3 linked regions of the Drosophila melanogaster genome follow. The gene in region 3 interacts genetically with the main gene of each other region. Each region holds a gene or a part of one and is shown on either strand. Other genes may lie near its edges.

Region 1 (11,023 bases), 2.0 Mb from region 3:
TCATACGGACGTTCATACGGACAAAAGGACGTGGCCACATTGATTGACTACAATAAGAATTTATGTATATGTATACTCCAAGGGCCAGAAATTCTTCCTTACACCTGTTTCATACTTTCCGACGAAATAGCGGGTAAACTTATAACCAACTCTGCACAGAGCAAATGCAATTTGCTGATTTATTCAGTTATTCAGTTTCACTTAAAGTAATAACCCCTATGTGTGATTAAACCACGCAATCGGATTCCACTATATACTCAGTTGGCATTCTGTGGTTCTGGCCTCATAAAAGGTATTCCTTGTCACTTAGAGTTCAGGTAGACTTAAAATTTAATTAAGCTTTATTTAAATGCAATTTGTGGAAAGTTGAAAATATTCTCCCCGTCACTTTGGAGCACTTGTGGGTGGGTGGGTCGATGTCGTTCGACGTGCAGTTGCAGCGTTCGTGTTGCACTTTTGGGTGGTTTCCCACCCACTGGGAACCAACTCATGCCACATACGCACCCCACCGCCCACTGACCGGACCATAAATCAGTGCAATATGAGACGTGCATCATGGGAGGTCTGTCGTCCTGCTGGTTAAATGGCGATTTCAGATAGAGATGAAGCCCAATGATGCTGGTCCTTTTGGAGTTTCTTCGGATTTCAGACGGCTGGATGCCGGTTGATGATGGCCGGCCATCGCTTGTTTATTGTTGCTCCTACGTCAATTTCGTTTATTTTGCAAATTTACAACACAAAACGGCAGGCATCAGATGGCACGGGCATATGTGTACTTTGAACTCTCGGACGGAAGGGAAAATCCTTTGATACAACAAAAGCAGAAAATTAATTACGTTCTGGATTTCTGTTGGGCGCCCATTTTCGACAATGGCTAATCTTCAATGCATCATTCAGACTGTCCGTAATACGTGACTAAGAGTGCTAAAACAACAAGTACCTTTAAAGGAAATATGCCAACACCTAATTTAAATGTATAATTTACGCAAATGGAAAATAATTGCCTGTAGTTTGCTACGCTTTCCATTCAAGGTTCATTCGCCGCAGTTACTCGTTTTGGGCAAGGCGGATCCATTCGATATGCTCCATGGTCGCCGGTTCATTAAGTCTGATCAAAGTAATGAAATTGGAAATGCTTCCCAGATATGTAGGGGCGGGTGCATAAATTCCAGATTCCAGATTCCTAAGCGCTTGAACAATGCACTAGGGAATCCAAATATGATACCGATAATAATGGATCCAGGGTCAACTGGTAATCGAATAAAATGAATTCGCCGTAATTGACTGGGTCTATAAATGCCTCACCGCCAAGTCAATGAACAATCGTGTTTATGGAACATACATAAAGCACTCAAAAGAACTTTTTCATCACTGAGCAGTGGGACTCAGGTGACAGACTGGCACATCAAAGTCCATGAACCTCATGATACATTTCTCTTTCAACCCCTCATAAAATGCCCTGCTTCCTCGCAGACTAATATAAATTGGCCAGGTTTATAAATCGAGCGGGAACGAGATGAAGACGAAAAAACTTGCTCTTGAAATATTTATGAGACTTTGCAATAAACTAAAATTTCAAAGACACCACCTCTCCAAAATGGCCGCCATAAATTGGTAGAAAAGGTGGAAAGGGAGCGAGAAGACGGCGGCAGATAGAGCCGTATAAAATATATTATACTCCCCATAATAAAAGCGAAAAACTTGATTGTACCTGGAACTTGTGAGCCAAGCGAGTTCAGAGAAAATCGGGGCGTTCGAGGGGCGTGTCGGGCCAAAGTTGCTGCGATTTATGCGACGCCATGGAGGAAGGCAACAGAGCTGCAAAGCCGGGAAAGGTGCAGCAGCTGATAAATATTAATGGCGAGGCCACCGCCAGATGTCCATATAAACAAACCCAATCCGCGAGTTCAACATAAATAAATAAATAAAATTGTAAGTATTCAGACGCAGCGAGAAGCGTCGCACACGCATTAAAAGCATTCCAATCCAAATACGAATTTCAAATCGTTAGGAGCACTTCAAATCCGATTCGTATCTCCTACCAATGGAAAAGGGCTGAGGAAGCGAGAGAAGCTTCGCCATTTTGGACCATTGGCCATTCGCTTTAATCGCGGGCATATCCGGCCAACGTTGCTGCAATTTCCGCCCAGGAGTTGGAGGAACACGAACTGGGTGTTGAACCACCCGAAACCCACCTAATGGACAAACCCTAATGACCCGACATTACATTTCATAACGCAATTTAAGCCACCAAAAAAGTATGTGTACTGTACATAAATATAAATTTCTACAGAAATGGTTTCATAAAAACCATGATTACGCATTTACGCACATACCCACACACAAGGCAAATGAGAAAAAGGCTGATGGCACTCGGGATTTCCTTTTATATACTTATATATTCATACACCATATATCCAAAATTTTCAAGTGAAATACCTCAAGTATTTTCAGAATATATATTTCGAAAATATTTTTTTGGAAAATTTGAAAAGCTATCTGTATTTTAACGTCTTCCCATAAAAGGGGCTGTTTATGACGGAACTCATTAAATATTATACTTCTGTATCCTTCGGTTTGGTTTCTTTGCTCGAATGTCTCAAGCCACATCGCTTCAGTCGTAAAGATTTAATTGTATGGAAATCGTAAATGGCACGAACAGAAAAGTTTTGGTTTATTTTATGAGAAAATCGATGGAACCCATTAAAAGCTGTCGCAACTGGCAAACTACAGGTCCTAACCGAAGGAAGTTCACTTGGTTGACGTAAATAAAATTGCTATTTCACCGAACTGTCATCATCTGACAGACCCTTTCGTTGGGACTTCGGGTATTCGTAATGGAATAAGTGATAAGTGGAACTTCTAACCGAGAATGACACATCCAACGAGCAGTAATAAAGTGATTCATTGAGATTGTAATGGCAGGCAAGGGTCGTTTGTTAAATGGGTTGATCGATTAGATCCTTGGTGAAGATAGTTACCGAACCTCCCTGATCAAAGGAAACTTAATAGCGGAGCGGTTCAATGCTCTACAATACTAATTCAAGGCTATCAGTTAATCATAATCTGTTTATCATCTAATGAGCTGTATGGAAAATTGGCAATTTGTAGCATATTTACACAGCTGTTTGCTGAATGAAATGTTTACTTTAAAAGCAAGAAGCAGATTAAACATAAACAAAATTTAAGGAGAGACGAGCGAAGCGGGAGAAAGCCGGATGATAACATTATTAGTTGCTATTTGGTTCCGACTACGGTTGGCATTGGCTAACCCAAACCACTATGATAGTCTTATCTTAATTAGTTTCGCCGTATTACTACTTAGAAATCGCCATTTTATTTTCTGGTCCCGAACGAAAACCAGTTTTGATATTCTCTTAGGCAAGTTTTACTATTTCGTGCTCAAACTCAATGTTTGGGTTGGGAAAACTTGACTAGTTACAGAACGGAAGGTATAATAATTACTACTCCCAATCATGTTGCGAGCATAAATTCAGTATTGAAAATCTTTTGGTGGGGGACCAAGAGACCAAAAGACGTGGAGCCAACCGAAACGAAACCAGGAAACCGCAAACTAATGAACGGACTGAGCTGTCGGCTGGTCCCCGGATTTTGGACCCCAGCGATGCTGCTGCTGCTGCAGACGACGGTCGAGGTTTGCGTCGGGTTGCATTGGCGGTGGCCTGGGCAGGGCGTTGTGGTTACGTTGGTCCGACGAGCCGGTGGCCCTCGGTCTCTGGAGCTTACCAAAGCCGTCACAGCCGCTGTTTCTGTTGCTGCTGCTGATGCGGTTTGCGGTTCTTTTTGTGCCCGTTGCAATTGTTCCTGCTCCCGGAGGGCATGGCATCAGCAGACACGTATACACCATAATATGTACATATATATGGATTGGATGGAGTGTGCACGAACTACGAGAGTACGAGTGTTTTCCAAAATGGCGACTCCCCGCTGATGTAGATACACAAACCGGTAAGACTTCCCAGTCAGCAGGGGGCCCGAAAATCGTGACGCCAGTTGCAGGAATAGCAATATTATAACCGATATGGATGGTACCGGGACTTGGGCGTAGGCGTATCTGGGGGCATGCCAAGGCGGCAGCTGAACAAGCTGACGCAGCTCAGAAATCTGCTTACATCTGCTGTCTGTTGCCGTAGGATGGTAGGAAATCAGACAGACTCGCTTCTCAGGACTTATGCAGCTTATAAAACTTTGCCCTCTGCATTTCCCCTCCACTGACAGAAACGCTCTACTTTTAAAGTGGCGTCAGTTCGGTTTCCCTTTGCCACGGCCGCCCGACTGCACCATTTTTGTTGCTGTGCGTTATAATCCGCTTTTTGTGATCGGATTATGTCCTGTGTAGCACCTAATCCCCGCACAGGAGTGCGACCAGCGTACACATGTTGCCAACGAGCACCACTTCCACATCTACACCTACAACTACACCACTCCCATTCCCTTTTTCAGTTCCAATCCGATTCCATCCATCCGCACTGATCCCGCAGTCGCAGTCAACTTTAATTACGCACTGGACGTCGATGGATGGATTAGGGCGGCCTTACGCCCACCGACTGCCCGGAAAAGCAATTAAAATGTGTATATCCTGGATAAACAGGAGAACGTCCCTAAATGGAACCACCTTTCAAGTTATAAAGCTGTTAACATTTTAGAAAAAAACATGTTTTCATGGTTTGTTCCAATTAAACGTTATTAACAATAAGTTCGGAACTGAGAGAGTTTATAAAATGTACATCAACCAAGATGGTTTTTCTCCTAAAAATAACAAAAAGCTATTAATATAAGATTAAAAGTTTATAACAGGTACAAAGAACAGTAGACAGTAAAACAAATATACATATAATCTTTTTTAAAATTTTTTTTCCGAACTCGAAAATAAAACACTAGTAACGAGAATAGACTAGAGCGACCTCTCTTGTTCACTTCAAAAATATGTTGAATATCTATTTTGACATTGAGCGTACTAAATCAGAAAATCTTTAATGCACATATTGGCTTTGACACAATTACCTAGTTTAGAGTATAGAGTATTATTTCTAATCCTAAATTCGTTCAATCGGATCACAAAGGGGATGGTTGACTATAGATGCCATAAAATCCCAGCATTTTAAAATCCCGATGTCTGCATTAATGCCAGGTAGTTCGAGTAAAGTGAAAAGAGAGTCATTTTCCAAGATCTACCCGCCCTTATTTCAGGGTAATCAAGTTAATTAGAAACTTTACTTTTTTGTGCATTTAACGACTTTTATTTTTGGGGGCTGGGGTTTCCTAGCACCGGCGTCTGGCCATCGGCACTTTGCCTTCTCCTCGTTTTGCTTTGCTTGCATATTCTCATCAAATTAAAGTTAATTGTACATCATTAAAGGCGGATTCTAAGAATTCGTTTCGGGTCTCGTCGGTATCTAACACAAAATGGCGTCGTACGATTTTGGGTTTTCATTTATTCCGATGTCAAGCAATTTAATTACAACCTGTCGCATGCATGGGGTAACACACAAAGACATGACTTCATGAATATGTATGTACGACAAGCGTTCGTACATACGTATTTATGGGAGTATTAAATATGGCCTCATGGAGGGTAGGAAAATGCATTTAGGTGCAGTGTTTTTGAGATGACATATGGATGCCCGCCAGCGGCAACCTCCCCATCAGCTGTCACTTTTAATGCCGAAACCCGCCATTTTGACAGGAGCTACAAATGAATAGGTTTCTCTTTTCAGTTAAGCTTCAGTGATTTTGAGTGTTTTACCGAATCGGAAGTATAAAGGTAAAAAAGAAAGTCTCCACAAAAGCAGACCTTGTGTTTATGAATGTATAAAACCTTTCAAGCTAATTTTAATTAAAAACAAATTAATAATCATTTGAGTTTAATATGAGCAGAGGTATCATTGTTTACTATATATAGGAAAAAATTATCCGTGAATTTTAAGTCTTCTCTCTTTATTGAGAAATTCTTATTATGTTTTTCGCCCATAAAAGTTACTTAACGACATCATGTATTCCATGTATTCATGAGTAGGTACAGTTAGTTTTGTGAAGTCATGCATAAATTAGAATAATTTACTCGATGAAAAGGAAAAAAATGCCGTCAAGAGAAGAATTAGCATTCAAATCTAAAGGAAATCTAAAGGATCGCATAATTCTTACTGGATCATAAATAATTCTTTGATAATTCTTTTCATATTAATTATTTAACTATTCCGTGCTTGGCAGTTTCTTAAGTCAGATTGTTTTGTAGTTATGTACATGCATGTATGAAAATCTTTAACAGGATTAATAATCTAAAAGCTATTCCTTTGAAATCCCCATCATCATCCATTCTGAACTCCACACCTTGCCTCGGCGAAGTACTTTCCACTTGATAGTTTGCCCGCATCAGAAATGGGCATTAAGTGATCTGGAGGGGATTCAGGCGGGGGGGGGGGGGGGACTGGGCATGGAGTCTGGGGGTCTTAAGTGCCCCCAACGACCACAGCAAACACAACCGTTTGCATGATTGAGGGACGGATTGAATGAGTGCATGTCATTCCCAATCCCTGGTTGGGGTTCAAGAGAGAGTGGCCACTCCAAAAGGCCCACTCTAGGCGAACATTTATTTGCACGGTTGCAGGAGAAGTTTGAGTCTTTCATACAGTCAGGCTTCCGTAACTAGAAGTATCACATGCCGCATAGAAAGTTAGAGCTCGAATTTTTAATTACATACATGAAAACGTGTTTGTTTTATTTAGCACACATAATAAAATATCGTGACCAATTAGTGTCATCTAAAGCGGTTATCATTTGTGAAAAACATTAATTTTGTTTTATTGTAATCACAAGCCGTTGATTTTAATTCATAATGTTAGTGTTAAATGAAACTTTCAAATTGCCCAATTTACGTTGAAAATAAGGTAGTTATATTCTGTATGTCCCAAAATTATATTGGAAGTTCAGTTAAGGCAAGTTATCTGGCTGTACAGTAAGTAACTAATACAATGAAAATAAACAAAAAGGTGTAAAAGCAATTCAATAATTCTTTAGATTGAAGTAGTTAAAATATTATAGTATTTTTTTATTTTTCAGGACAATTATGTTCAAGCTTTCCACTAGGATGATCTACTTGGGTTCCACTGTAGCTTAAAGAGCAGCTCAAGCACGACGGAGAGCAAACAAAACACAGTAGAGAGCACACACACAACCACACACACTCTATTGCCGCTCATCTGGAGAGTGGCAGCTGCATGTTGCAGCTGATCTGCAATTGCAAGAGAGGGAGACCATCTTGACTTAGCCCTTCCACGTAAGTGAAAGCGAGGTAGCGACTGTCTAGAAACAGCTTGTTTTGCTCGCACTCATAGGGGAATCGAGAACCATCGGCACGAGACCCTAACTCACTACACAGTAAAAAAAAAAATTCTCAATCAGTAAGCTAATAATTAATGTTTAATTTGTACCTTTTTTAATTTAATTAAATTCTTGCATTAAGTTGGTATATTATTTTTCATTTTTTCATATAACAACTTAAAAATTTGTATATTAGAACTAATTTTAAAGTTGATTCAACGTTCGATAACATCACATTTCTTACATCTTAACTGGTATATCCAAGATTAAAACTGCATAGTCATATTAATTTTAAAATAATAGAAAACTATATATACACATATACTGTAAAATAGAGCAAAGTGCACGCCGTTTTTCTCACTGTAAGATCTCGGACTGGGCCGTGAAAGTGAAACACAACAACACTTGCCATTGCGCGCTGTTTGTTTGGTTGTGTGAATACGCTGCTTTGTTTGCCTTGGCCTGGGAAAAAGATAACAAACGCTTTTTGCACGAGACTCGATTCGAAACGCTTGATAAGGAGGACGCAGCACGAGCGCATCAAAATCCAACCAAAACAAAAGTTTACACTGAGCAGACTGCGCAGAGCAGGGGAATATGTGTATTGAGCCGGCTGTTTGTTATCAGCCGCAAGAGCACGTGTGATTAGGCGGCTTTAGCTAACCTCAACTTGGCGTTAGCTTATAGGTAACGAACGCGTGATACGGACTAGCAACATACCCTTTTCTCGGCACTGTCGCAGGGGTTGCTCAGACTCAGCGAAGAGGAGCTCAATGACGAGGTTGTGGGCGCACCGCTGGCCGTGTTTGGTGTGCTCATCTGGGGCAGGGCATCCGTGGGCACGGCATCCAGCTGCTCCTGCTTGATCCCGGCGATAAGCGGCAGGAAGTCGTTCTTTAGCTGCTCCAAATCCATATCCATGTTGGCGAAGTCCTGCGATTTAACCGCGTAGGCGGTTGCTGGCGATCGTTGAAATTAAAACGTGGGCGTGCTAATTATAGCAACTGATTTTTGGTTGACTGACCGACCGACCGAATGTTTCCCTAAAGGCTGTCGCCTTGAAACGGCATGACTATTGCGATTATGTTGCGGTATTATTGTTTTGGAATTAGTTGGGTAGTTAATCCATTCCAATGCTTACACGCACGCACACGCACAAACACACACAGGGCGCGCGCACCAATACACAGGAACTACACGAGAGCAGGCAAAAACAACGATTTGTGCTTGTATGGATGTTCACAAACGATTTTTCGCTGATTCTTAAAGTTTTGTTCGTAGTTGACTCCTCTTCAATTGGGTGGCTAATGCATTTTAATTTCACCTTCGACTTCTGGCTTGCAAAAATATTGGGTTCTCCCTCTCTCTTTCGCACAGAGCGACACAACTTTCGTTTTACTTATACACGACGTTCGCTCGAATTTCGCTGCTATTTTTCGGTCTGGCCGTCGATTTTTCCAGCGATTCGTGCCGCATTTCGTCCATACGCGGCTGCTATTCTTTATTCGCGCTGCGAGCGCGCTCTTAGTGCGGTTTTATTGGCGTAATTCGCTGCGAAAACACACGGTCTCACGGCGTTTGCTCTCGTTGGACGCTTCTTCTGTACAAAAAATGTTCAGCCATTTTGGATTCAATTAATTCATGTCGGCGTTGCCAGTACGACGGCATTTCGAGGGCTGTTACGCACGGCCGTGGAAACGTAAGCAGCTGAGGTCACACTAAACACGCGATCTGGCAATACCACAATTGAATTCGCCGTTCATTTCGTAAAAAATCATATTAATGTTGTAATACATGGTCAAGATGCCATTTATTTACAATTTAAAACTAATAACTTAGCCTGGTATTAAAAGGTTATAGTAAAATATAACATAATTTTTAAAATAAACTTGTAACGTCTTCGTTCTGTTAAGTCATAACGTTACGTAAAGCTTTGAACATTTTTCTCCACACAGCTAATTTAAAACTTAAGTAAATCAAAAGTAGCATTTCGGAAACTCAACTTAATTATTGAGCTAATTCAAAGAACGCGATTTTCGAAAAAAACATATTTGTATTAGCCAAACAGAGCTGTTAAATAAAACAGCTGATCCGTAACAGAGCAAGAAGAAGAAGCACAACCACACGTGTGTGAATTCCTCCACTTTAAATCCAGAATTGTTTACTTAATGTTTTTAAGACGACTTTTAAACGACTACACCAAGGCAGGTTAATTATTAGTGATCACACCTCCAATTCGAGAATTTATAATAATTAATTTTCTTACAATAGTTCGCCTGAAAACCCTTTGCAATCCCTGGAATCGCCACAAATCCTTCGCCGCAGCGATGTCAGAGGCTCTAGATAAACTGGAGGTGGAGAAGGAAGCCAGGAAAGAGGCCAAAGAACTGGAGGGCGAAGCCGTGAAGGACGCCAACCGCATCAAGAGAACACTTAAACGCAAGAAATGGGTCGATTGGAAGGAGCAGGACGAGAAGGATGCCGCCAACGGCGTGAAGCGAGCGCCGTTCGATCCCGCCGACCGGATCAAGCGCAAGAAGAGCGCCATCCTGCTTAGCTACTGCGGTGCGAACTACTATGGTATGCAGCGCAATCCCGGCATGCAGACCATCGAGGAGGAGCTCTTCAAAGCCATGCTAAAGCACAAGTGGATTACAGAGGACAGCTTTGAGCAGATTCAGATTTCCTGTTTCCAAAGAGCGGCCAGGACCGACAAGGGCGTCTCCGCCGCCCGCCAGGTGTGCTCCGTCAAGCTGCGTTAGTTTACTTATTCTATTTTACAAGACAATACTAAACCTATTCCTTCCTGCAGCTGAGGAGCTGGACCTGGAGGCCTTCAATGCCGATCTGCCGCAACAGATCCGTCTGTTTGGCGTAGAACGCGTGACTAAGGGCTTCAATGCCAAGGATCAATGCAATGCTCGGACCTACACCTACACACTGCCCACCGTGGCCTTTGCTCCGTTTGAGGAAAAGGTCGACGACGTGCACGACACCTTCCGGATTTCACCAGAGCTGCTGCAGAAGGTTAAAGAAACCCTGAAGCTCTACGAGGGCACGAAGAACTTCCACAACTTCACCAGCAAGAAGTAAATAAGCCAGGTTTATACTTCATTTCTGCTCCAACTAATATTTTGTTTACTACCCTTGTAGAAGCTTTCTGGATCCTTCGTCCAAGCGCTTCATCATGTCCTTTACGAGCAGCGAGCCATTCCGGAGTCCCCAGGACATCGAATTTGTCACACTTAAGGTTAAGGGTCAGAGCTTTATGCTGCACCAGATTCGCAAGATGGTGGGTCTAGCCATTGCCATTGTAAGGGGGAACACGACGGCGGCCACTTTAGAGCGGGCACTGACGGAGGAGCGTCTGGACCTGCCGATGGCCCCTGGACTGGGCCTCGTGCTGGACACAGTGCACTACGAGCGCTACAACGATCGCTACGGCAAGGACGGCATCCACAATCCGCTGACATGGCAGGCGCAGGAGGCGCAAGTCCAGGAGTTTATCGAGAGGGAGATCTTTAGCCAGATCTATAAGACGGAAGCCGAGCAGCGTAACATGCTCGACTGGATAGGAACATTGCATTATCACTCGTACGACACGCGGACGGAGGACGCGCCTCCACCTTCCTCCGAAGACAAGAAGGTTAAAGGTGGTGATGACGACAATGACGAATAAGAT
Region 2 (11,023 bases), 6.7 Mb from region 3:
CGAATTCCACGGTTTGGATTGCTTGCAACAGATTCAAAAGCGCTCGCGCCATTTTGCATTCGACGGTTCTCCGGCCAAGAAGTCGCGATCCGGAGGCGTGTTGGTCACCGGGCCAAAGCAGAAGCAACTGCAGAAGGAAAATGTGTGGAACCGGAAGAGTAAAGGCTCTGCGTCCGCGGATAATATTGAGAAACTGCCCATAACTATTGAGAAACTGCATATGATTGGTCTGCACGGCGATTGGTGAGTCTTCTGGAGTATATCCCAAATATATCACATAATAAAAAGCTCCTTATCTAAACAATAGCTTAGAGCACAACGCCGTGCTGCGTTTGATGAATCTGTTCAGATCCCTGCATGATCACCTGACCGCCGATTTGGGCTTCTCGCGCCAAAACTCAATGCCCTCGGACTATCTGTTCGATATGCCGGTGAAGAGCACGATGCCTAAGAGCTTGAATGTGCGCTACCAACTGCAGGTGCTGTGCACCAAAGTAGAGCGCTTCCTTGTCCAGCAGCGCCGCACCTTGGAGGCGAATCGCCACTTCGATTTCGAGAAATACGACGAGTGTGACAAGTTGCTTAAGGGTTTCGCATCCTATTTGGACAACTTCAAACTGCTTTTAAAGCCCAAAATGCGCAATCGAAACGGAAACTCGGGGAGCAATGCGGACAAGTGTAAGCTGTAGATTTGCAAGCAACCATTCAGCTATTCCTGCAACGATTTTATTATTTACAGTCCATACTCAGCGCATGGAGAGATTGCTAATTGGTCTGCGCGATTGGATCAAGGCTGCGCATCTCAGTGTGCACGTATTTAACTGGGAAATGGATCTGGAGCACCGCTACTCCGGGGCCATGACCGAAAGCCACAAGTCGTTGAACGAGCGGGCCATCCTTTTGTCCGGTGCCGAGCTAAGGGCGGCCGAAGCGCGTGGAATCAGTGCGGAGGATCTGTTCATCGCCCAGAGATACAAACTGGGAGGTCCGATCTATTGCGTTCTGGAGCAGCATGAGTTCCTCTCCGCTCTGATCGCCAATCCAGAGACCTATTTCCCGCCCAGTGTTGTCGCCATTTGCGGGCCACAGAAGCTTGGCGCAGTGAGCATGGAGCAGCCGTCAGCGTCGGAGGAGGAGTTTGAGGAGACCGAGGAAGTGCCATCATCGCCACCTCGTCACACCGGACGTGTACCTCGCTTCAGAAGCTAAACTAATGCTGTGCACATCGATAAAAGAATGACAGCAAATATGCAATTTAAAAAAGCTACTCTTCTCATGGGAAGCAATAATTTCGTAAAGTAAACATATCTATAGTGTAAGATATATTTGTCCAATAGTGCGGACTCCATATTTGTATTCGTGAATAAGCTTATATAAGCTTTTTAAAAATATTTATCAAATCGATACAAACAAAATCAAAATGAAAACGATTTATTACCCCTGTTTTGAGATTGATAACAAATTTATATAAGTTTAACTGTGTTTACATTTATTTGGCAAAACTACAAATGTGTTTGCTTTTCACTTTTATAAATCTGTATTTTACTTAAACTTTAGAAATAAGAAATCCTTTAGTGCCTGAATTTATTTTGCAACTACGTTTTATTTGTATGAGGAACTTACCAGTTTTTCTTATTTGCTTTGCATTTGTATTTTGAAAGTCAAATAAATATTTACGATTTGTGTTTGGACTAATTAGGGTGTTTGTACTAAGGTCTTAGACTACAAAGAGCTGTTCGAGCGGCAGTTTGCCAAAGATCCTGTCCACCACCGACTTGGCTATCAGTCCGAAGGCCTCGCCAATGCCCGGTTTCAGTTCATTGAAGATGTCCTTCCAGTTCTCATTGATAAGCGCGTGCATGTTCTCGCTGAGATCTTTCTGGCCGTTGAACAGATTTTCCAGCTGGTAGGTCACATGGGATGGATCCAGCTCAACCTTTATGTTCATCACCTCGGCGTAGGTTTGATGATCGCCCTTGGAGACGCGCTTCAATTTGATCTGTGCACGTACCTTTGTTCTAGCTGCGAATTCCAGAAACACATTAAAAATTTTAGATTTCAAAGCTGTGGGAGGCAAATCTTACTGAGGCGTATGTCAGCAATGCCATTTCCGGTGATGGGCAGAATGAGTATTCTTCCGTCCACCGAGTAGGGTCCTCTGACTCCTATTTCTGGAACTTCCATGACCAGCTCGATGGAGCGGCTGAGATCCCTTGTGAATCCGCTAAAATCCGAAACAGAAAAATGTAGTAAGCAGAGCGATCATAAAATGAAATGAGGATCCACTCACCTCACTCGCTTCGCAACTCCCTGATGCAGACCCAAGATGTCCATCTCGTGGAAGCTGAGATCGATGTTGACCGGACTGTGCGGATTGCGTCCGATTTTGAACTTCTTGACGTGCAGCGGATCGAGGGGGATCAAGCCCAGCTCCTTGATACCGCTTTTGGCGTAGTTCCTGAGCACGAAGTTCACCCTGTCCTCCAGGCACTGCTCGTCCATTATGGCGCACCTCTCGATGCCCGAGGCTGTAAATTGGGGCGTGGCGATTGTGAAATATACATAAACATTATATATTACGGAAAGGGGGTGTGTGCAACTCACGGAAATCGGAGGCGTGTCCGTAGGTGGACGCACATCCGAACAGCAGGACGAGGGCGAGAGTTAGCTCCATAATTGCTGGCGGCGAACGTAATCGAGTACTGATCCATTAGCCGCGGGCGTTAACACTTATATAGTCACTTTCGTCAATTGAAATGTATCATGTTTTTGTTGCCGTAAACCGCTTTTGCGTTTCAGCCGCACAGAATTTGACTTTAGACCGTTTGGCAGTTGAGTCAGTTAAATGGATTATAAACCGAAACCGGCAGGCTGGCTGTATGGCAAAGTGGCTGGTTATAGCCGGCGAATTCATTTTACGATTCCCTTTAATGAACTCCCAAGTTCCCAACTCCCAAGCCAGACATCGACCCCGTCCCATTCAATCGCTCCTAATCGCGTTTTGGGTGCAATTTGCTCGATATATGCAAATTGGATCGGCCTTCCCCAAAACGCACATTAATTCCCGTTTCAACGTCTAATTAATGGCTAAGTCAACAAAGATTGTTTATCAAGCTTTTTTTTAATGTAACTGCCTTTTCCAGTTACAGATATTCCCTGCCTTTCGGAATCTCCGCGCGCGAATAACACATACTTTCAGGCGGTCCTTCATCTTTTGGATCAACCTGATCTATAGGGTTCCACTCACTGTAACTTAATTAATAATGGGTCATAGTTTTAAATGTTTTTATGGTATTTTACAGAATTCTTTGTATCACTTATAAATAATTTACAATGTGCTAACTACATATATGTAACTTTTATTGCCACACAACACTTACAGATTATTTAGCTGAGATGGCTTAATAGTAGTTACTTGTGTTCTCACTTTCAAACGCGAAACACGAACTCCATTAAACCTAATGATGATTGCTAGCCTCAAAACTTAGATCTGTCAGTACGCAAACAACATGATCTAGTATCTTTATGTGGACTCTGCCCACTTTGAAGAGCTAACTCACGATTCATCCGCAAAAAACTTGGCATACGGCAGTTTGGAGAACACACCTTTGACGACGCCCAGGTAAAGTTTGCCAAAGGATCGGTCGATTGCTTTGGCCGTCTCCTTGTAAATGGCCTCCGAGTTTTCGTTGAGGAAGACATTCATGTTGTCACCCAGCGCCTTGTCCCCATTGAACAGATTACTGAAATGGTAGTGGCTGGACTCCGGCTTCATCGTTATTTTCAGATCGGTAACGTCCAGGTAGGTCTCCCCATTCTTCACCAGCGGTTTGCCCGAGAAGCTGACGATTGCCCTGACGTTAACTGGACAGGATTTTTAGTTCCTCGAAATCTGAAAAATCAATTGGCATAGCTTACCCATTGTCATGTTACTCTGTCCAGTTCCGCTGATCGGTAGAATGAGTACCTTGCCCTGGATGTTATAGGGTCCAACGAGTGAGAAGGTTTTCGTGACAATTTTCACTTCGTGCTTGGCGGTGAGATCCCTTCCGAAACCCCTGCAAAGATCAAGGCAAGTTGAATCACATCCTTCTCATCCAAACAAAGTGTTGTTCCTGCACCCACTTTACTTTGACGATCCTTTGGTCCTTGATCCCATACAACAGATTGTCGGTGAAGGTTAGAGTTATGCCCACGGGACTGGAGCTCTCACCCTGGCTAATAACCATCCGATCCACCTTCAACGGATCCAGCTGCATCAGGTTCAGACCAGGATCCCCCTCCGCCGAGTTTTCGCTGAACAGGGTGTTGCACAGCTTCATGATACATTCGCCATCACCATACTTACAAGGTTTTGGATCTTCGGCTGTGAGGAACACAAAGGATTATTTTGGAACCGAAAAGTAGAGGTAGGTGTCTATCTAGGTTTCCCAGATTATTACTTCATTGGCAAGGTCTTGTTTTAAAGGACTTTCTCTTACGGAATTTGGCATCCACCGAGACCAAAAGGCACAAAACCACTGCGAATGCGATTGCGAACATGCTAACACGTCTATAACTTTAAGTTACTGAATACGAACGGGATTTTCGCCTAGTATTTATAGTGGTCCACTAAGTGCAACTCAAATAACGTCTAATGGCAACCTTTGATATAGCTCTTATCTGTGCCGTAACCGTCTGTCTGTCAATTCCAGAGCTCGTTTCAGAATCATCAACTAATAACGAATAGCAACTGAATCATCTGATGGTATTAGGTAAGAAAACGTTGTTCTAATTTCAATACAAGCCTTAGTTTATCACCTCATTTGGGTGCACTTTAGACAGCAAGTAGATCATGTAGCAAATCTTCTTATTCACCTTAATCTTCATCAATCAGTTACATCGAAAATCCGCTCAATGAATTTAAGTATCAGACAGATTATGTCCAATTAAAAGTCATGGTATTAAGTTCTCCCTTAACAAAGTTAACTGGCAAGTGTGCAACTCACAAAAGGGCCAGTTCCAAATATAGCCGAATTGAGATGCGAAAACAACGCAGTCATCGTGACCACCAGTTCTTTAGTTGGCTTTAGTTCTTGCGAATCGAAGTGAAGGGCAGTGGAGGAGTAGCGGTGGAGTAGTAGCTCGGAACAGGTCCTAGACTTTGGGTTAACTTAATGACCAAGTGTCCCGCTTTAAAGTCCAGCCCCCGTGGAGAACAAAAGCAACTTGTTTCGCTCGGAATCGCTGCAGTTGATTGCTCGCTCGTGGAAGATTTTCACTGACCCAAGGCCAACTGGGTGTCCGATTCCCTGGGATCGGGATGGCAGCTATACCGTTGGCTACTCTTGAACTTGGACAGTGAAATGAGTTCGCAATGAGTGACAGCACAGTTGTGTTCAGATTAATAGCACTGCCATTTAGTTAGTTCTTGATTCTAAGACAAGCAGATCTTAGTCATATATCATATCATCATATCATATACTAATTTTAGTGCACTTTGGGCTAAATTAGTTGCACAGGATGTAGGAGTAGTAGTAGGAGCATGCATCTTCGTCTTTTTTAAGACACAAAGTATTTGCTCATAATAATTAAGGTGTTTATTTCAATTTGTTGGATGTTTTAATACTTTAAGCGTATGTATAACTACGCTTTTATCCACAAGTATAGTCACCTTAGCAATAATGCCTTTGTCATGCAAATTTCGAATCAATCGTTCCATCACGTGAGCTGCCTGTTGATTGCTGATTGCTGGCCAAAAATGAAACAAAAAGTGTATGCGACACTTGTGCGGAAATAGTGAGATCCACGTTTTAGCTAACAATGGCCCCCCGCAGAAGCAGAACCAGTTTTTTTTCGAATGTTTTTGTTTATTCTACAAGTTAAAGCTTAGCTTAGCAGATACGATGATACGATGATGATGTGTCAATGGCCGGAATGCCGGAATGCAACGCCCCATGTGAGTGAGAATAGCTTGGATAGGTGAGGAAATACTCGTACACTTAGCCTAAAGTCCTAGGGCGCCTGATGGCGACTAGGACGACTAGTGCTCAGTTCTCGAGGAATAAATCCTCGTAGGCGAAGCGCTTGAAGAGCTGCGAGAGAACGCTCTTCATGATCTCGGCGATGGCCACATGAATGGAGGGATGCAGCTCGTTCCACACCTCCGTCCAGTTGTCGTTGAGGAACTGATTCAGATTGGTGCCCAATGCCTGGTCGCCATTAAAGAGGTTCTCCAGCCGAATGTTCATCCTGTGGGAACACAAATATGTTAGTATATCTCAGCTAAAATCCGAACTGCACCTACTTTTGTGGCTCCACCAGAACCTTGAGCTTATCCACGCTCAGGTAGGTGCGTCCATTGCGCTGCTGTGTGCCCGGCTTGAATTTCACCGAAAACTTGGGATTGTGCAACACGATCTCGGCATCGCCATCGCCACGAATCGGCAGGATCAGGATGCGTCCATCCGCCACGTACTTGCCCTTCAGCACGATCTTGGGAAAGGATCCGTACATCTCAAACTTGCTGGTTGCAGGATCAGCGCCAAAGCCACTGAAAAATACGATTATGATGGATAAGTGCAATCAACTTAATATATCTTCTTCTGTTAATAAACATGAGAACTTCTTCACTTTTGCTTAAGAAGGAAATCACTTTTCATTTCACTTGCTACTTACACGGCTCTGTCGAACTTCACACTGGACAGGCCCTCCACATTCACGTCCCTGAAGTTGAGCTTTAGATTCAGGGAGCCAGTGCGTCCGTCGGAGATGTCGAAGCGCTTGATCAGGAAGGGCTCCACCTGGGGGAATCCAGCGGACGGATAGCCGGTCCTCGCGTGCTGTCTGATCAGCATGTGCGACACGTTGATGATGCAGCTGGTGTCGCCCATGTGGCAGCGCGGCAGTTCGGGAGCTGCAAGGATAAGCTGGCGATTAGCGAAGCACTGGGATTGTTGGCCAAAGGACTCACGGAAATTCGAGGCACCGCTAACCAAGCAGCAGAAGAGGGCCACGCAGCCCAGCTGGAGCAGCATCATTCTGGATATGGATCTAGTTACGTACGAAATTCAAGCGCCCCGAAATTCAACCGCTCGACGATTTGGCGAATGCCCGACCAGGTTCAATGGCAAACTGTAAATCGGCTCTGGACAGACGGCGGCATTTATAAAATTTCTGATCGGCCAGAACGATGGAGCGGCAACAAATGTGGCCAACAACAACCAGTACACTTCATAGTTTATTCATTCCTGACTTGTCGCGTCTTGGCCCTTGTTTTTCTTGTTGTTGCTGCTGCTGCTGTTGTTGTTGTCTGTCTGATTGCTGGCTATTTTTATTTATATTTTTTTTTTATTTATTCGTATGTGTATATCTCTTTCGCTTCGTGTTATGGATTCTCCTCATCATCATAGACATCGCAGTCTTTATCTTTATCGCAGCTACCCCTAACCAGAATTGGCAGCAGCATTATTATTAATTAATATTATTAGCATGCAGCAACAAATAACAATAAACAATAACAATGGCAACGCGCACAAAAGGCAGCGAAACTCAAAATTTTAATGCTCAATCCAGTCAGTTTTCAAGCAATTAACCAATATATTTCCACTTATCCTGCAATGCATTATATATATATATAATTTAATTATACATATATAATTTGCACTATATTTCGGCATCTTGTGTACTTTTTATAGATTCAAACTCCGTGAAATGGAATCCGCGCTTTGTTCACACTTTTAATAAAGTGCAAATATCAATTCGTACTTATTGGCTTATGATATTATTCATCCCATATTTGCTTTGAGATCAGCACTTGGAATTGGGAACCTACCTCTGGGGGAATTCCTAAGTGTGCTAAATGGCCAGGCAATCTGAAAGGGAATGATAATGAATAGGTCATGGTTAAGGATCCACGATAAAAATCACTTAAGTTATGAAATTGTATTCCGACCAGAAGGAAGAATGCATCCCAAGGCTCCCAACTATGAAATTTCCGTTTTGGACATATGTACGAAGATAAATCTTTTTGTGGCCAACACAACTCAATTCCGACATAAACCAATTAGACATAGTCGGGCATTTTGGACGACATCAAACAGGTTCCAACGGCATCGATAATCGATAATGGATGGATCGACGGATAAAAGTTGCTCGGCGAGGTGGCTTCACTTTCAAAACTATTGGACAGGCGACGTTCGGAACGGGCCGAGTGAATTTAATTTGGCAAATTCTAGTTAAAGGCTCCTGGCGTTCGTCATCAGCAATTAGCATATACTACATATATACATATGTATATGTATATTTGGTGTGTGATTGGCATGAAACCGGCATTCTGTTTATTTACCCATCCAATTGGCGCCAGGTGAGTCCAAATATTTCACTTTTGTCCACTTTGATGTGTTTGCGCAGCCAATTCCTAGACGCTGTCGTAGACATCGAGATTACAACGGATTTTCGGGGGCGAAATATGGTAATATATGCAAACACGCTTTTATTTTATTACGTCGGGCTTGCCTGCAAATAATTTGGCATTTCAATTTTGAGTTGGTTGATTCATCTGCGCGTAAACATGATTTCGTTTTTCTTTGTAAACTCAGTAAATACGTTTAGTTTATAACTAGTTTAGCTACGTTGTAACGAAGTGGAAAGCTTATGAATGGCGGTTACTTTTCAATTTTTAATGAATTCACGATGAGTTTGGGAATTTTTGGTGGCATTCTGGTTTGATGTGGTTTAATCGTTCTGAATGGCATTAACTTTTTCTGGTTCTTAAATATTAATTTCAAGTCTGGAAATTTCTAGCAATGCTTGTTTTTCACAACAAACTAAGGTTTAAAAATATTAATATTTGTGTTCGTTAGGGATAAAAATTAATTTGTTAGCGAAATAATGTTTGAAATCATTTAAAGTTTCCAACTATTCCGGACTAAGAGCAAAAATTAACCATAAAAATTTTTACTTAATTTTTGTATTACTTATTTATATAAGATTTGGCTTGGAATGTCCAACAGCACAATCTAATAAATATAAAGAAAGATTATAAAGCATACATATAGTTTACACTTTTTCAATACTTTAATATATTCTATTGTTTATAACGAATTTATTGATTACAAATATTTTCAAATTTGAAATTGAATTGTAACCGCCTTTGACTGGTTCCGAATCGACTGGCTCTCCACGGAACATATCGCCACATGCGGTATAATCAATGCAGCTCCCTACGGTCATACTATTAACCACATCCACATCAGAAGTCTGAAATCTGATTTAAAAACTCTCACGAAACTTACTTAAAACCAGGTGAAATAAAGACTGAATACATTCTGGAGGCAAGACAAGCTGAAGCAGTATGAGTGGCAAGCAGGTAGTCATCCTTCTGGGCAGTGTCCTGATCCTGGGATGCTTACAAGTGGCAGCGGCAACGGAAACGGATAACAAAACCAACGATTTCGTGGCCACCGACGAATGGCAGACGATTGCGGAAGGTTAATGGCTAGCCAGGCTAACTCTCGGATGACGTGTACTAAGTGAGCACTCTATATTTCCAGGTCAAGCTATTCCAAGGGGCCTGCACGTGCGCATCAACCTACAAACGGGGCTCAAGGAAGCCAAACTCTTAGACGAAAGCGAACGTGGCACGTCGCTGCAGAGTCAACCGGATGATCAGAATGCTCGGGAATCTCACGATGACAACGAACCCCTGGCTCTGGACTATAAACCGGACATAATCGAGGAGTCTATACGGCGGGTCAAGGAGCAGAAGAAGAGCTATGCCGAGCTACGCAAAGCGTACAAAGAGTTCCAGAAGAACTTTCGCACCGACGGAGAACTGATCGTCCAGTTAATCGATCAGTTTCGGAACTTCAGCAGAACGCCGCTAGAGTCAGAGATGCGCTCCAAGCTGGACTGCCTGGAAAATCTGGAGTATTTGCTCCATCAGATAGACAATGCCTTGATGTTCATTGATAATGGGGGATTGGATGATGTACTACTGCCCATTGTTGTGAACGATACCAGTACATCCCTGAGAGTGTCGGCCATGCGTGTGTTGGGCTCGCTGGCGAGCAACAATCCCAAGGCCCAGATCAAGGTGTTCGAAAAGAATTTCGGGTCTCATCTGGCTCAGATTCTGACCAGTTCCGGAAATGTCGGTGAGATCTCCGCTGCATTGCACGCCTTTGGAGCCTTGTTGCGGAAATTTCCGCTAGCCCAGCAGCGAGTGCTTTCCACCTCGGGTACACAGGCTCTGATCAAGGTGCTCCAGAGTCCGGATGTGGAGCTGCGGAGCAAGGCGAAGGTAGTGACTCTCATAAGCGACCTAGTGCTGGAGAAGCGGTCAGTGCTGGATGTCAGCAAAGATGATCCCGAAGCCTCATCCACAATGGCGCAATATGTGCTCTTGGACTTCGAGTCGTGGCTGAAAACGCCGGGCTACTGCGCGGCGGTGGACACTGTGCTAACCAAGGAGTTCCTGCTCCTCCTAGAGCAACCGGAGGTGGTGGAACAGTTTGCCACCGCATTGGAGACCACCGAAGATATGTGCACCAGCACGTGGTCGCAAAGTTCCGGTCTCAGGCATGCACTATTAACCGTTCGCAATCGGTATGCCAACAGCACGGACGAGTACCGACTGGAGGTGTCCCAGATTTTGGCCAAACTGTGCGAGAGATTGTTCAACAAGCCCAAGCACACCGAACTGTAATCCTAGCCAATTTACTATGTTATTTATGTTAATTTCATTTAATTGTAAGCTGAGTTGGAATGAAATTCGCAGCCAAACCATAGAATACGATAGCTAAGATGCCAAGTACTTGTGATGCAAAAATAATGCTCTTTGTCATTAACTTAGGATAGCAATCAATCATGCCAAACATCTACAGGATTTTCGTTATCAAATATAGTCTCTTACTTAAGATTATTTTAAGTGTGATTTTTTTTTAATAGGCAGACGATTCACCAACGAGCACATCAAAATAATTATGTTGTTACACGTCATTAAACTAGCAAAAATTTGTATGCTACAGAATTGTTCTCCAAA
Region 3 (11,023 bases):
ACATTTTTCTTTCGGTTTAAGTTCTGGAATTTCTGAATTTAATATAGCGTATTCAATTATTTGAGGTATTTGAAAATATTTATTTCACTTACAATTTGGATCAAATATTTTTCTTGAGCATATGCTGCCACTTTTTTTATAGTGTGCATTTCGTTTCTTGAAAGGTATACGTTTTTTAGGCCCACCCTTGAGGCTACTAGACACGAATTTGAATGTTAATTTCCAAAACATCTTGCTCGTTCCCAACGCCTTTTGAATTGGAATAGAAATCTATTGGCCTTGGGAGTGAAAGGATTTTTCGAAAATAAATATTATGACGCTGGACTCTGGCCTTTGTCTGAATACTCGAGTCGAGGACTCCGGCACTCAAAGTGCGTTTTGAATAATTTAATTTTGGTACAATTGTCGCATCATTAAGTGAAGTAGCTGCGGCCTGCTGGCCATTAAAACTCCGCCAGCCAAGTTAAGAATCATGTTTAACAGCACGACAGTCGCTTCTCTTTGTCTTTTGTGGAAAGCAGCAGGGATTAATTTTCCATTTCGCCAGCAACTAATCCTGTAAACTATTTCATCCGCCCGCGATGTCTAGCTCCTTTTGAAGTAACGAAGAACTTTCCACTCTTAGCCAGCCAGTTTTGTTGGCAATTGTTAAATGCAATTGAATTTATAAGCGGGCATAATTAAAATTAAGCAGCCGCTGCCGAAGATGAAAGTTTTTGCAAGTGTTGCACTTCCTGTTCCGAAATTCGCTTTTGAGTGGCTTGTAAGTTTGCTCCTGTTCGGAAGTGGATTGTCCTGGCGATATTCTCAGGATGCGACTTTAAACAGACAAAGGCTGGCCAAGAAAAATATGTGCAAAGGAAGTCTTGCCCATTTCAACAGAATTAAGTTGCTACCTTTATTGTTAAAGGTAGTTAATAGAAATTTTTATTTAATGTTTTCTTTAAAAATGACAGGATCAATAAATATGGGATAACAATAATAAATTTAAATTCTATCTCCGCGTTCAAAATTCTACATATTTGTGTCTTTTAATCGCCATTTTATTCGACTAGACATAATTAGTTTGATTTTATCCGATTAAGCCTGCAATGCTACATATTAATAGATAAGATAATGAGTACATATATTCTAGTTATTTAAAGTTAAGACAATTGAAAGTGTATATAAAGGTAATTCATCTCATTTTGCGAAAAATTCTGTCTTAATCAAAATGGAACTTAGAAGCCTTTTAGTCCTGTCTGTATCGCTCTTTAAGAAAACTTTCCATTATATGTAGCCAGGTTCTCATTAGAAAATTTTCCAATTCCCAGAATGCATAAACTAATTTAGCTGAAATGTTTTTGCTTACAAATGGGCTGCACATCCCGCCAGAGGATTTCATCACTCCGTCAGAGCAAACTGCTCGAACTTGGCATGGAAAACAAACGAATTGCCAGAAATTATCGAGTGAGGAACTCGGCGACAGGATCCGGAAACTGAAATTCCTTGCACTCGCATTACAGGCGACGACGGCCAAATGAGTTGTCGTCCCTGGGTGAAGATGACGAGGCTGACGTGGATTTGGTTGTGGATGCCGCATGTGGCTGGCCCGTGGTGATGTGAGTGAGTTGCTCCATGATGGAAATGCCAAATGGTTTGTGTCTCTTTATGGGAATTGTTGTTTGTTGTTCATTCTCCTCGAGCTTAGTCTTAGTTTGCGTTTTGTTTTTTGGCTGCTGCCTGTTTAGCTCGGCAGATAAGCAGCTCTACTTAGATTGCGGATTTCGTGGAGAGGGATTCTAATTCACAGATCTCTTTTATTTGCCAAAGATTGGATATTTTTTTTATGTATGCCAACGTAACAATATTTTGTATGACTTTTGACCAACTAAATACCGAAAGTTAGTTAGTCACTAAACAATAATAAAAGGGTTCAAATATAAAACCGCACACTTAAATAAATAGCTTTTAAAACTTTTAAGCACTATTATCGTGTTTCTTCAAATCGGTAAAACTGAAGCTAGAAACTAGAATCATCCTAATTCTGGCCTGTATATTGTTATATTAAATTGGAGCTTATAATAGCAAAGTACTAGGCAGCGATTAAAAGTAATTTTGTAGATTAAATAAACAAATAAAAATGAATTATGTTTTTAAGCGGCGCAGTAAATATAGTTTTCTTATTCCCCGTATTGACTGTTTCTAAGTTAATCAAGATGCAGTTAGGCTGTTTAGGACACATTCAATATTTCCCACAAAAGGATATCCAAGCCATTTGACGTTTCCATCACGAATGAACTCACTACCATTTGACATAGTCCTTCTAGCAGGTCAATTTGTATTGGCCACATTATGAGTCCTAGAAAAATTGGAGTGTTAGTTTGATATCCGTATATAACAAAAATTGAGAGCTGCAAAGCAAATCAATTAATGTATTACGAAAATTACCAAGCATAAATGAATATTAATAAACGTAGTACTTGCACCTAATTCGTACTTTACTAGAGTAAGGCATCTTGATTAACTGAAGCCTTTGGTCTTCAAGCAACGACTTTGTTGCCATTTAAAATAAAAATATCATTTAATTAAGTTTAAAATTTATGCCAGGCAAAGAGAGCGCTAAATGGCTTGGAGCTATGAAATAAGAACATGACAAGAGGAAACAAGAGCAAACAGCCGAGGCAAATAAATACAATATGAAATAAGGATAAAAAAAAGGCCGATGGAACCAAAGAGCAGGAGATTTAAATGCAGTTTGTTGCAAGGATATTTTTTTGTAAACTTTACGCATTCGTCGCGACGACTCGAATGCTGAATGCCACGCCCCTGCGCCCCTCCCCCCCTCCCCACGCCCAACGCTGTATGTTTGGCATTTCGGTTACGAAAGCCCGAGATCACGAGACCCAAACGAGCAACATTGTATGGCCCGAAAGAGAGGTAGGCGGTATGGGAGTCCTTGAGCTCCGTCGACGAATGAGAGTGTCGAACCCTCCGCCACCCACCGCCCAACGCCCACCCACCCACTGGTGGCGCCCCCTCAAGGCCACCCGCCAATGTGTAGGCGACATGGACGAACGCCGTTGGTTGGCCGTCGTCGGCGCCTATGTAAACGAGCCACGCATGTGTGCCATCTGTGTGTGTGTGTGTGTGTGTGTGTGTTCGTGTGTGAGTGTGCGTGTATGTAGGTGACATGTACTGCGTACTGCAACAGGAGTCCTGGCAATGGCCAAAAAGGCAGCGGAGTAAATGCAAAATCTGTAGGGAGCCCACACCACCAGACCGGATCCGACCGAAACCATTGCGAAGCCCCCATTTGGAAAAACCCACCAGTGCAACACGGCAAACATCATCGAGCGAGCATTCGCCAGGGGAAGCGATTACGCTGCAACATGTTGCAAGAGGAGGAGTTTGCGCACCGCTGCAATCCAGTTTAGCTCACCGAGGTTCCAAGGCTTTAATTTTTAGCTGAATGTATCGCATTTTATCTTTATTTAATGGTAAATAAAATTGGGACTGCTTCTAAAAATTCCCGTAAACTAATTACCTACAAATATACGGATTTGAAAACTTAATTAAGAGGGATATAACTAGAAATTTGCCATTTGAATTTAGTTCGTTATAAAGAGATTTTACTTTAATTAATTTGATTGCGAAAGGCTTAGATCTATAACAGCTCTAAATTTTTTTTAATGAGCTAACAATATTTTTAAAGGTATAAGGCATTTACCTTCTGAATCTGAATAAAATTTTTTGAACTAAAACCTTTTTCCAACGACTTTTTTTATATTATAATAAAGTTTTTATTTGCTTGTTTGGTTAATTTGAGCTCTCAATTATTTCGCTTAATGCTTCGTATCTAATTTAAATATAAACCTTTTCCAAAATGTGTATATGTTTTATATAATATCAAAATTACTTCGGTAATTATTAAGTTTCCTGAACTGGTATTAAAATTTTCAAAAAAGAATACGTATTTATTTACACTTTTTTATTTCCATATTATTTATCAGAGAAATATGTCTGTTGTGGTAAATATTCTTACGTTAATATTGCAATATTGCTAGATCAATAAACCAAACATGGTTACCAAGTTCGTAATCAAATTAATAGATTATTTGTTTAAAAATATTTCTTAAAAGGACTGACTAATAATATAGCCTTTTACTCTTGCAAAATAAACTGTCTTTTAATAATAATTGATAAAATCAAAGAATATGTAGATAAATATAAAATATTAATAAATTTTTAACCTATGCCATTACACACATTTCATTTTTGAAAAATATTTCGAAAAACAGAAATTCTAATTTTAATTAATTCCAGCACAATTTAGGTCGATTTGTTTATTTATGTATACTTAGTCTACGAACTGTTTCAAGTTAATGATTAAAAAAGAAATTTGTAGTTGCTTCAAAGAAAAAGGATTGATGAAAGAATAAAGAGGTCAAACCCGGATGAATGGCAAACAAAAATGAATAAATAATATTTTGATTACGCTTCATTGCTGGCTAATTTCAAATCGGTGATTCCCCTCGTCTGTCGTTTAGCCCCCGAAATGCATGCCACATTGGGTGGCAGTTAAGTCCGGCTCCTTGGCAATTAAAACGAACAATGCATTTTCGCAGTTTTCATTCGCCAAAAGCGAGGAACCGACCAAAATACCCGATCTTTCATATAGGACAGTCACATAGGGCCAGCACTATATTCCAATTCGCGTAGGTGGAGCACCGACTTATGTAATACTCGATTTTTTGCTGCTCGTGCTATATTTGTTTTTGTTTATTTTCGTTTATTGTTGTTGTTGCGATGGGCTGGGGAAATGCGCAAAAGAGACGGATAGTTGCAACATGTTCGATTGCAGGGCGTTGGAAAAAAGTTAACTGCTGTAAACAGCGCAGGCCTTACAGAGAGAGAAAATGGGGGCAACTCGAAATGAGAGCGAGCGCGAGTCCTGGCGAGAGGAGACTTCGGCAAATGCCGGCCACGTGACATTGTTGCACTTCCTGGCCGCGCGCTTGTGTGTGTGTGTGTGTGTGTGTGTGTGGGCGCTTGATAAGCTTGCAACGAAGCTATTAATCAAAACAGAATCAAAAAATCCGCTTCGCTGTGTGCGTGCGAGAGAGAAACACGTGCCGGCCCAGTTAACAGAGGTCCTTTAGCAGCGCTCTGCTAACAACGCCGGTTGGCAACAGCAAACGTTGGTTGGCTTGGTTGGTGGAAAACTTTCCACTCGGCCTCTCTAATAATAGATTTTATCATTGCCGAGTAAACCGAGTCGGTGTATTTACTTCGTGTAATTAATGCCTGGCTGCTTTGCGATTTTAAGGTGGTTTAATCGGACGATTAGGTGGCTAGACGCTGGTATCAATTGGCCATTTCGCAATTTGCATTTTGTGGTAATCCATTTTCATATTGGTTGTCATTCCCGTAGGGGCAATGAGGCCGTATCGTGCCCCCTTCTAGCGGCGTATTAAGTCGATTGCAAGAGTCTCAAATGTATTCCGGCTTTAGTGCTCAGCTTGTTTGTCCAACACTTGGCACGCACACGCAGCTCCGCAGGTACAGTGTACACCCTGTAATCGGGATCGTAGCGAAAGCATATATTTAATACATTTTTGATAAATTGTTTGTTAGTTTTCCCTACTCATCAATTATTAACGTTAAGTTGCCTACTTATGTTTGCTATTCGTATTGAAATCATATTATATTCAATTAATATTTACTTAAAGTAAACATTGCCTTTTTAAAAATATATATATTTTCGTTTTCTAAAGCTAGTTAATTGAGTACCCACTGTATGTGGCAGTGTCCTTGTACTTTTACATAATAAATCAAACCCCACCGAAAGGAACGGAAATGAAAGTAAGGCAAGGAAGAGGAAGGAAACGAAAAGAAATGCCACTGCGGAAAGCCAAGAAAAGAAAAGTGCATTTGCACGCTAACAGGAGCTGTTACCATTTCACTGATAAGAGCCGGCAAGCGCGAACAGCTGTTCGAGAAAATCCTCGGAGAGAAAGCAGCCAAGGATATCGAGAGCATTTCTCTTCGCTGTAAACGGGCACTGTAAAGGCGGCCAGTTGTTGACTGGGAACTAAGCCAATTGCACAATGTGGGCCGAAGTTGATGTCGTGTTGCTGCTGTTGCTGCTGCTGCTGCTGCTGCTGTGTGTGTTGCAACACGAGCAACTACAAGTGCAACTACACAACCCTTCGACTGCAAGGACTTCGGCAGCAACGAGCATGTATATGTATTCCACCGAACCCACCATGTACTGCGTTTATGTGTTGCTGCTGCTTTTGCCTTTGACGCTGCTGCTGTCGCCGTGCTGCGCCTGCTGCTGCTGCGTTTCGTTGGTGCTGCGACAGCAGAGTCGTTGCAACAATCGCAGCTTGCACATCCAGCAGCAGTCAGTTGGACGCGGCGGCTCCTTCAGCAAGGACGCACAGCTCACACAATCCCTTCGAAGGAAATCAGCAGCCGACATACCGAACGACCTGCCACAACATTCCAATTCAAATCCAATCCAATCCAGACTTTGAAGTCCTGTAAAGCGTTTTACATTCCGCTTACATAAATGCTAGAGCGCTGTAAAAATCGGCGCTAGAAACGCCAATTAGCCAAACATGTTAGCCATGTTTTAGTCGGTCCTTTCGCGCTTGACTTGTTTTGCAACTGTGTGCGTACGTTTGAGTGTGCGAGTGCCGCCCGATTTTGTTTGTCCTTTTTTTTTCTGTTGGTGTCTCACCGAGTGCCGTTTTAAGCCAAGATACTACAGACATACTAGCGACTAGCTAATACATATTAACTTGTTGTGCCAGCGTTTTGTGTGTGCCAGTCAGCCTCTGCTGAGTGCATTTTCATTAAAGTCAACAAGTTGCAGCCGCATAAGGTCAAATAAAAGCAGGTGAGTCTGTGTTCCCGGCCAACAAGAGCCAGGTATTCCTATGTAAAGTTACTTAAAGTGCAGGTGATATGCTCTTCTGAGAGCAGATTTTATGTTGTTCAAATTGTATTAAGTGGTTTTGTGGAATACGTTAAGGGCACAGGTACAAAACCAATATTAAAAAAAAAACATTTGTTTGCTCATTTTCTTTGTATAAATATTTATTTTAACTAAGTCTTTTGAAAATTTTATAATGTGGGTTCTAAAAATATTTAAAGTGCATTCTCACTATGTGCTATCTATTATGAAGTACGTGTTTATCAATTAGGTTTTATATTTAAAAATGTTAGATAGGTTCGAAAACGTTGGGGTTTCCAAGTTTTAATATAAAATAAATATATTAAAATATTTGAGTGAGTATCCAAGCAGTTAATATCTATGGTACTGCAAGAAAATTCACTACGTTAACACATTTAAAAAATATTCATCCATTCACATCAGTACAGATGTATAAAATAATTAATAACAGGTCAGACAAATATATGGTCCTTATTTACCTTTAATAATTACAAAGAATTTTTAGAAAATTAAATCATAGAATCTACTGACAGAATTAAGATATACCTAAATTAAATTACAATAAATTATTTTTCTAAACCACATTGAGGTGTTTTGCAAGAATACTATACTGCTAAGAAACATTCGGTTCAGTTATAACAACAAAATCTTCGAAAACTTTTAACTAGCAAATTAAATTACAACAAAACCTAAAGTTGGCTGAGCACAATTCAAATTTCAGTTTCTTATATTTTATTAGCAAATATCAGTTTACTTCATCTGCATTTGATTCAGTTTATTCAGAAGTTCAGCAGACCAAGGCCAATTGCAAACTGGCTAATCCGTGTTACCAATTTATATTCAATAATATATTTGAGTACTCTTACATCTCCCCCGGCCAACATAAATTTGGTTTTTAAAGGCACCCAAAAATATTTTGACAAATTATGAGGTAGGAATGTGTAGTAAATATTTCCAGAGATTAAATGACAAGTCTAAAGGGAAAATATATCTACGCTCTTAATGATCCTTTGTAATAACTACAAATCTGTGGGCCGGGTGCATCCTGGCCGTGTCCTGGCCATGTCCTCAATTTCGTTGAGTTACAAAAGGTTTAAGTAAGTAAGCAAAACGGTAGGAATCGAGTAATCGCTCTCAGGGGCATAGTTTAATATTGGATTTGTAATGGAAATCAATATTGCCCGAGGAAAATTTATGCAGAGGCCAACAAAGAAAGCAAACCATTCAAATTGAACCGGGCCAATAAAATTGCAGTGCGAAGTTTGCGTCCGAGTTTGATTTGAGTTGTGCTGAATCGTCAGCCTTGGCATTGCCAATTTCATTAGGGGCCATAAAGGGAAAGAGTCCGCTTGTAATTGCAATTAGTTTTATCGTAACTTGCAGTTAAATAATCAAAACATTTTCCCAAGCTTCCGTCCCCATCGTCCGTCCACCGAAAACTCTTTGTAATGCAAAACTTTTTAATCCGACGCCTTGGTTTGTTTACACGAACTGCCAGCGCCCCGCCCACAGCGCCCCCGATCCCTATCCACACTCCAGACAATAACAACAACGTTGACAATAAAAACAGGATTGACAGGATACACCCCAGGAAGTCGATACGCTTAATACCCTTGCACGAAAAGTGCCTAAAAATAGATGGGAATCTATTTCGGTAGAAATTAGGATGATTTAAGAAAGTTACTCTTATTATATGAGTTAAAATAAAGTAAAAAGCAGACCATATCAACTTTAAATTAAAAAATGTGAACTCAAACGATGCAAGAGTATATAATATTTCAGTTAATCTTATTATGAAACAGAAAATCAAGTTAGAGCTTGTAAACTAAATGGATTAGGAAAAAATCGGGAGTATATATATTAATTTTTATAATGATTTGGCAAAATTATATTTTAAATTTCATTAGATAAATAGATACATCTCAAAGGATTTCCTTCGTAGAAAAAAATTGCTTGAAGGAAATGCTGAATAAACTCTTTAAATATTTTTAAAGTCGCATTTGTTTAATACAACTCCTATACAGTTGAGCATATTCTGAATAGCACTTACAAAAAAGTGCTTACCAAAGTTACTAGTTTTACTTCATAAAACAGTACTAGTGCGGCTGCATTTTCCTGAGAGGCTTGTAAAGTTCTTGTTGCAGCAGTGCGACTCCCTTTCAGGGTATGAAAATAAGAAAAATTTGCATATTTACACAAGACAATTTACACACTCTCCCAGTCGGCTGACTGAGTGACTGAGTGAAGGGCCCCTGCGAGGCAGGGACGCAGTTTTCCAGCGGGGCGCGGGAATGCGAGATTGAGTGGGTGGATTGAGGTTATTTTGTAAATTGTGTGTAAGCCGAACTGCTGCGACTGCAGCCTGATGAACAGCCAGTGCCAGAACCGTTACAAAAGTCCAACAAGTTGGGAGGTGGGAAAAGTCGGGGGAAGCACGGGAAAATATGGGTAAAATATGGGTGGAAGTAAAAGGGGGGGGGGTGGCTTGGGGCCAAAGGGCGGTCTGTAACGGATGACAAGGACAAGTGAAGTGAAGTGTCGAGATGGAGCTGCACTGGCGGCTGCTCGTGTTGTTGTGCGGCATGAATTGGGGATATATATACATATATATATATGTATGAATGCTAGTGCTCACAATGCCACAACATACGGAAGTAATTCGATTTTGTTGGCAGAATGATGATGGCCCGGCCCCCAGTGACAGACAGCCTCGTAGAAATCCCAGAGCCATAACCCCATACAGATGCAGAACCCATAGAGAACCCACAGAGTTCCACAGGATGGCAGCATTTCGAGCACATTAAAAACAACTTAATATCTGTGTTGTGTATTTTATTGGGTCTCTTTCCGGTGTCGAGCCCATTATGAGGCATTTCCCAGCAAAGTAATTTAATTATTTATTTACAACATGGAAATTAACAAACATAACTCGGATGGTCTACGGGCGACACATTGTGCAAATTATACAATATCAACATTGCATAAGTTGAGATTGGGGAAGGTGGATCGAGGGGGAGAAAGGCAACGGACACACATGTGCTGTGTTTGGGGTTTTTACAAATTTCATTTCCATGCACTCGACAATTACAGCATTTAATGTTTTTACACTTTATTGTCATTAACAGATTTTATTTTCTATGGTTCTGTGTATATTTTCACGCGATTACGTGTGTTTTTGGCCGTGTTTACATGTGTTCATATGTGCATATGTGGCTTGGCTAAATCGGAAATAGTCATAATATAGTATTATGGGCTATTTGTTGAGTGCACATTAGATAAAAGCTACGGCGAAAGCATCTAAATCAACTGCGGTAATTTATTACAAATTAACGAAACATAAAAAGTGCTCACTGTAAATGGACCTTATGCAATTAAATGCTTTACAGAAAGTGTGAGTAAATTGGCAAATATGGATATGGATAATTCATTTTATTGTTCGTAATAACAATGTACACTTTACTTGATATTTGTGCTAAAAACTTGGATGAGTAACAAGGTCGAAGCTTCTAACTTTAATTGAATCGTAGCAAGTTAGCAATATTTTCATAAGCCAAGTTGCTTGCGTAATTGGTTTACCCATCGCGAAATTGGCCAATTTATTGGCTAATCTAGGATTAGCCTAACTTTCGCACTTGAGGTCGTTGTAAAATGTTACACCACAAAAGAACTGCTCAAAAGTCACGGATAGTTAAACGCTAATGCCGCAAAGTAATTCAAAACTTAAAGCGCACTTTTCGGGGCTCTCGACGCGGTTTTATTTGAGTTTTTTTTGCAGTAACTCTGGCATGTTTCTAATGCTTTTGTGCCAGTAAGTCTGTGCGTAGCACTAACAGGAAAAGTTAAGTAAAATGAAATGAATGCACAAATGCTTTTTTGTTTGAATTGTCTGCAGTTTGCTATCACCAGCACGCCCTTTGACCTTGTAAGCTGGTCTTAAATTTTGCACTGACAGTCAAACGAAAAGTGAAATATTTCAATGAAATCATTTTCGAATCAAATAATGCACAAGCCGTGCCAAAGTTGATCGAGATTATTATATATGGGCTATAACTGCACTTTAAAATATTATTTTAGATTGCC

What was found.
Region 1: of fru (region 3) and bon, changing one suppresses a phenotype caused by changing the other (phenotypic suppression), as found in Drosophila melanogaster (one study listed by BioGRID).
Region 2: of fru (region 3) and to, changing one enhances a phenotype caused by changing the other (phenotypic enhancement), as found in Drosophila melanogaster (one study listed by BioGRID).

What each region holds. Positions count from the first base shown.
Region 1 is NT_033777.3:20,591,083-20,602,105, reverse strand, and holds the start of bon (bonus), read right to left. Parts: upstream 8,968-11,023; 5' UTR 8,263-8,967; coding exon 8,062-8,262; intron 1-8,061. Other genes in the region: Pus1 (pseudouridine synthase 1), read left to right, coding at 9,510-9,549, 9,613-10,098, 10,154-10,430, 10,495-11,020.
Region 2 is NT_033777.3:25,233,709-25,244,731, reverse strand, and holds to (takeout), read right to left. Parts: upstream 4,553-11,023; 5' UTR 4,543-4,552; coding exon 4,482-4,542; intron 4,367-4,481; coding exon 4,126-4,366; intron 4,059-4,125; coding exon 3,919-4,058; intron 3,865-3,918; coding exon 3,557-3,864; 3' UTR 3,064-3,556; downstream 1-3,063. Other genes in the region: bam (bag of marbles), read left to right, coding at 1-243, 308-678, 740-1,209; CG11854 (uncharacterized protein), read right to left, coding at 1,718-2,022, 2,085-2,224, 2,291-2,528, 2,605-2,674; Jhbp7 (juvenile hormone binding protein 7), read right to left, coding at 6,030-6,231, 6,287-6,532, 6,658-6,895, 6,953-7,019; Sil1 nucleotide exchange factor, read left to right, coding at 9,335-9,470, 9,534-10,687.
Region 3 is NT_033777.3:18,540,976-18,551,998, reverse strand, and holds the start of fru (fruitless), read left to right. Parts: upstream 1-6,412; 5' UTR 6,413-6,886; intron 6,887-11,023. UniProt on the Drosophila melanogaster protein: Probably acts as a transcriptional regulator.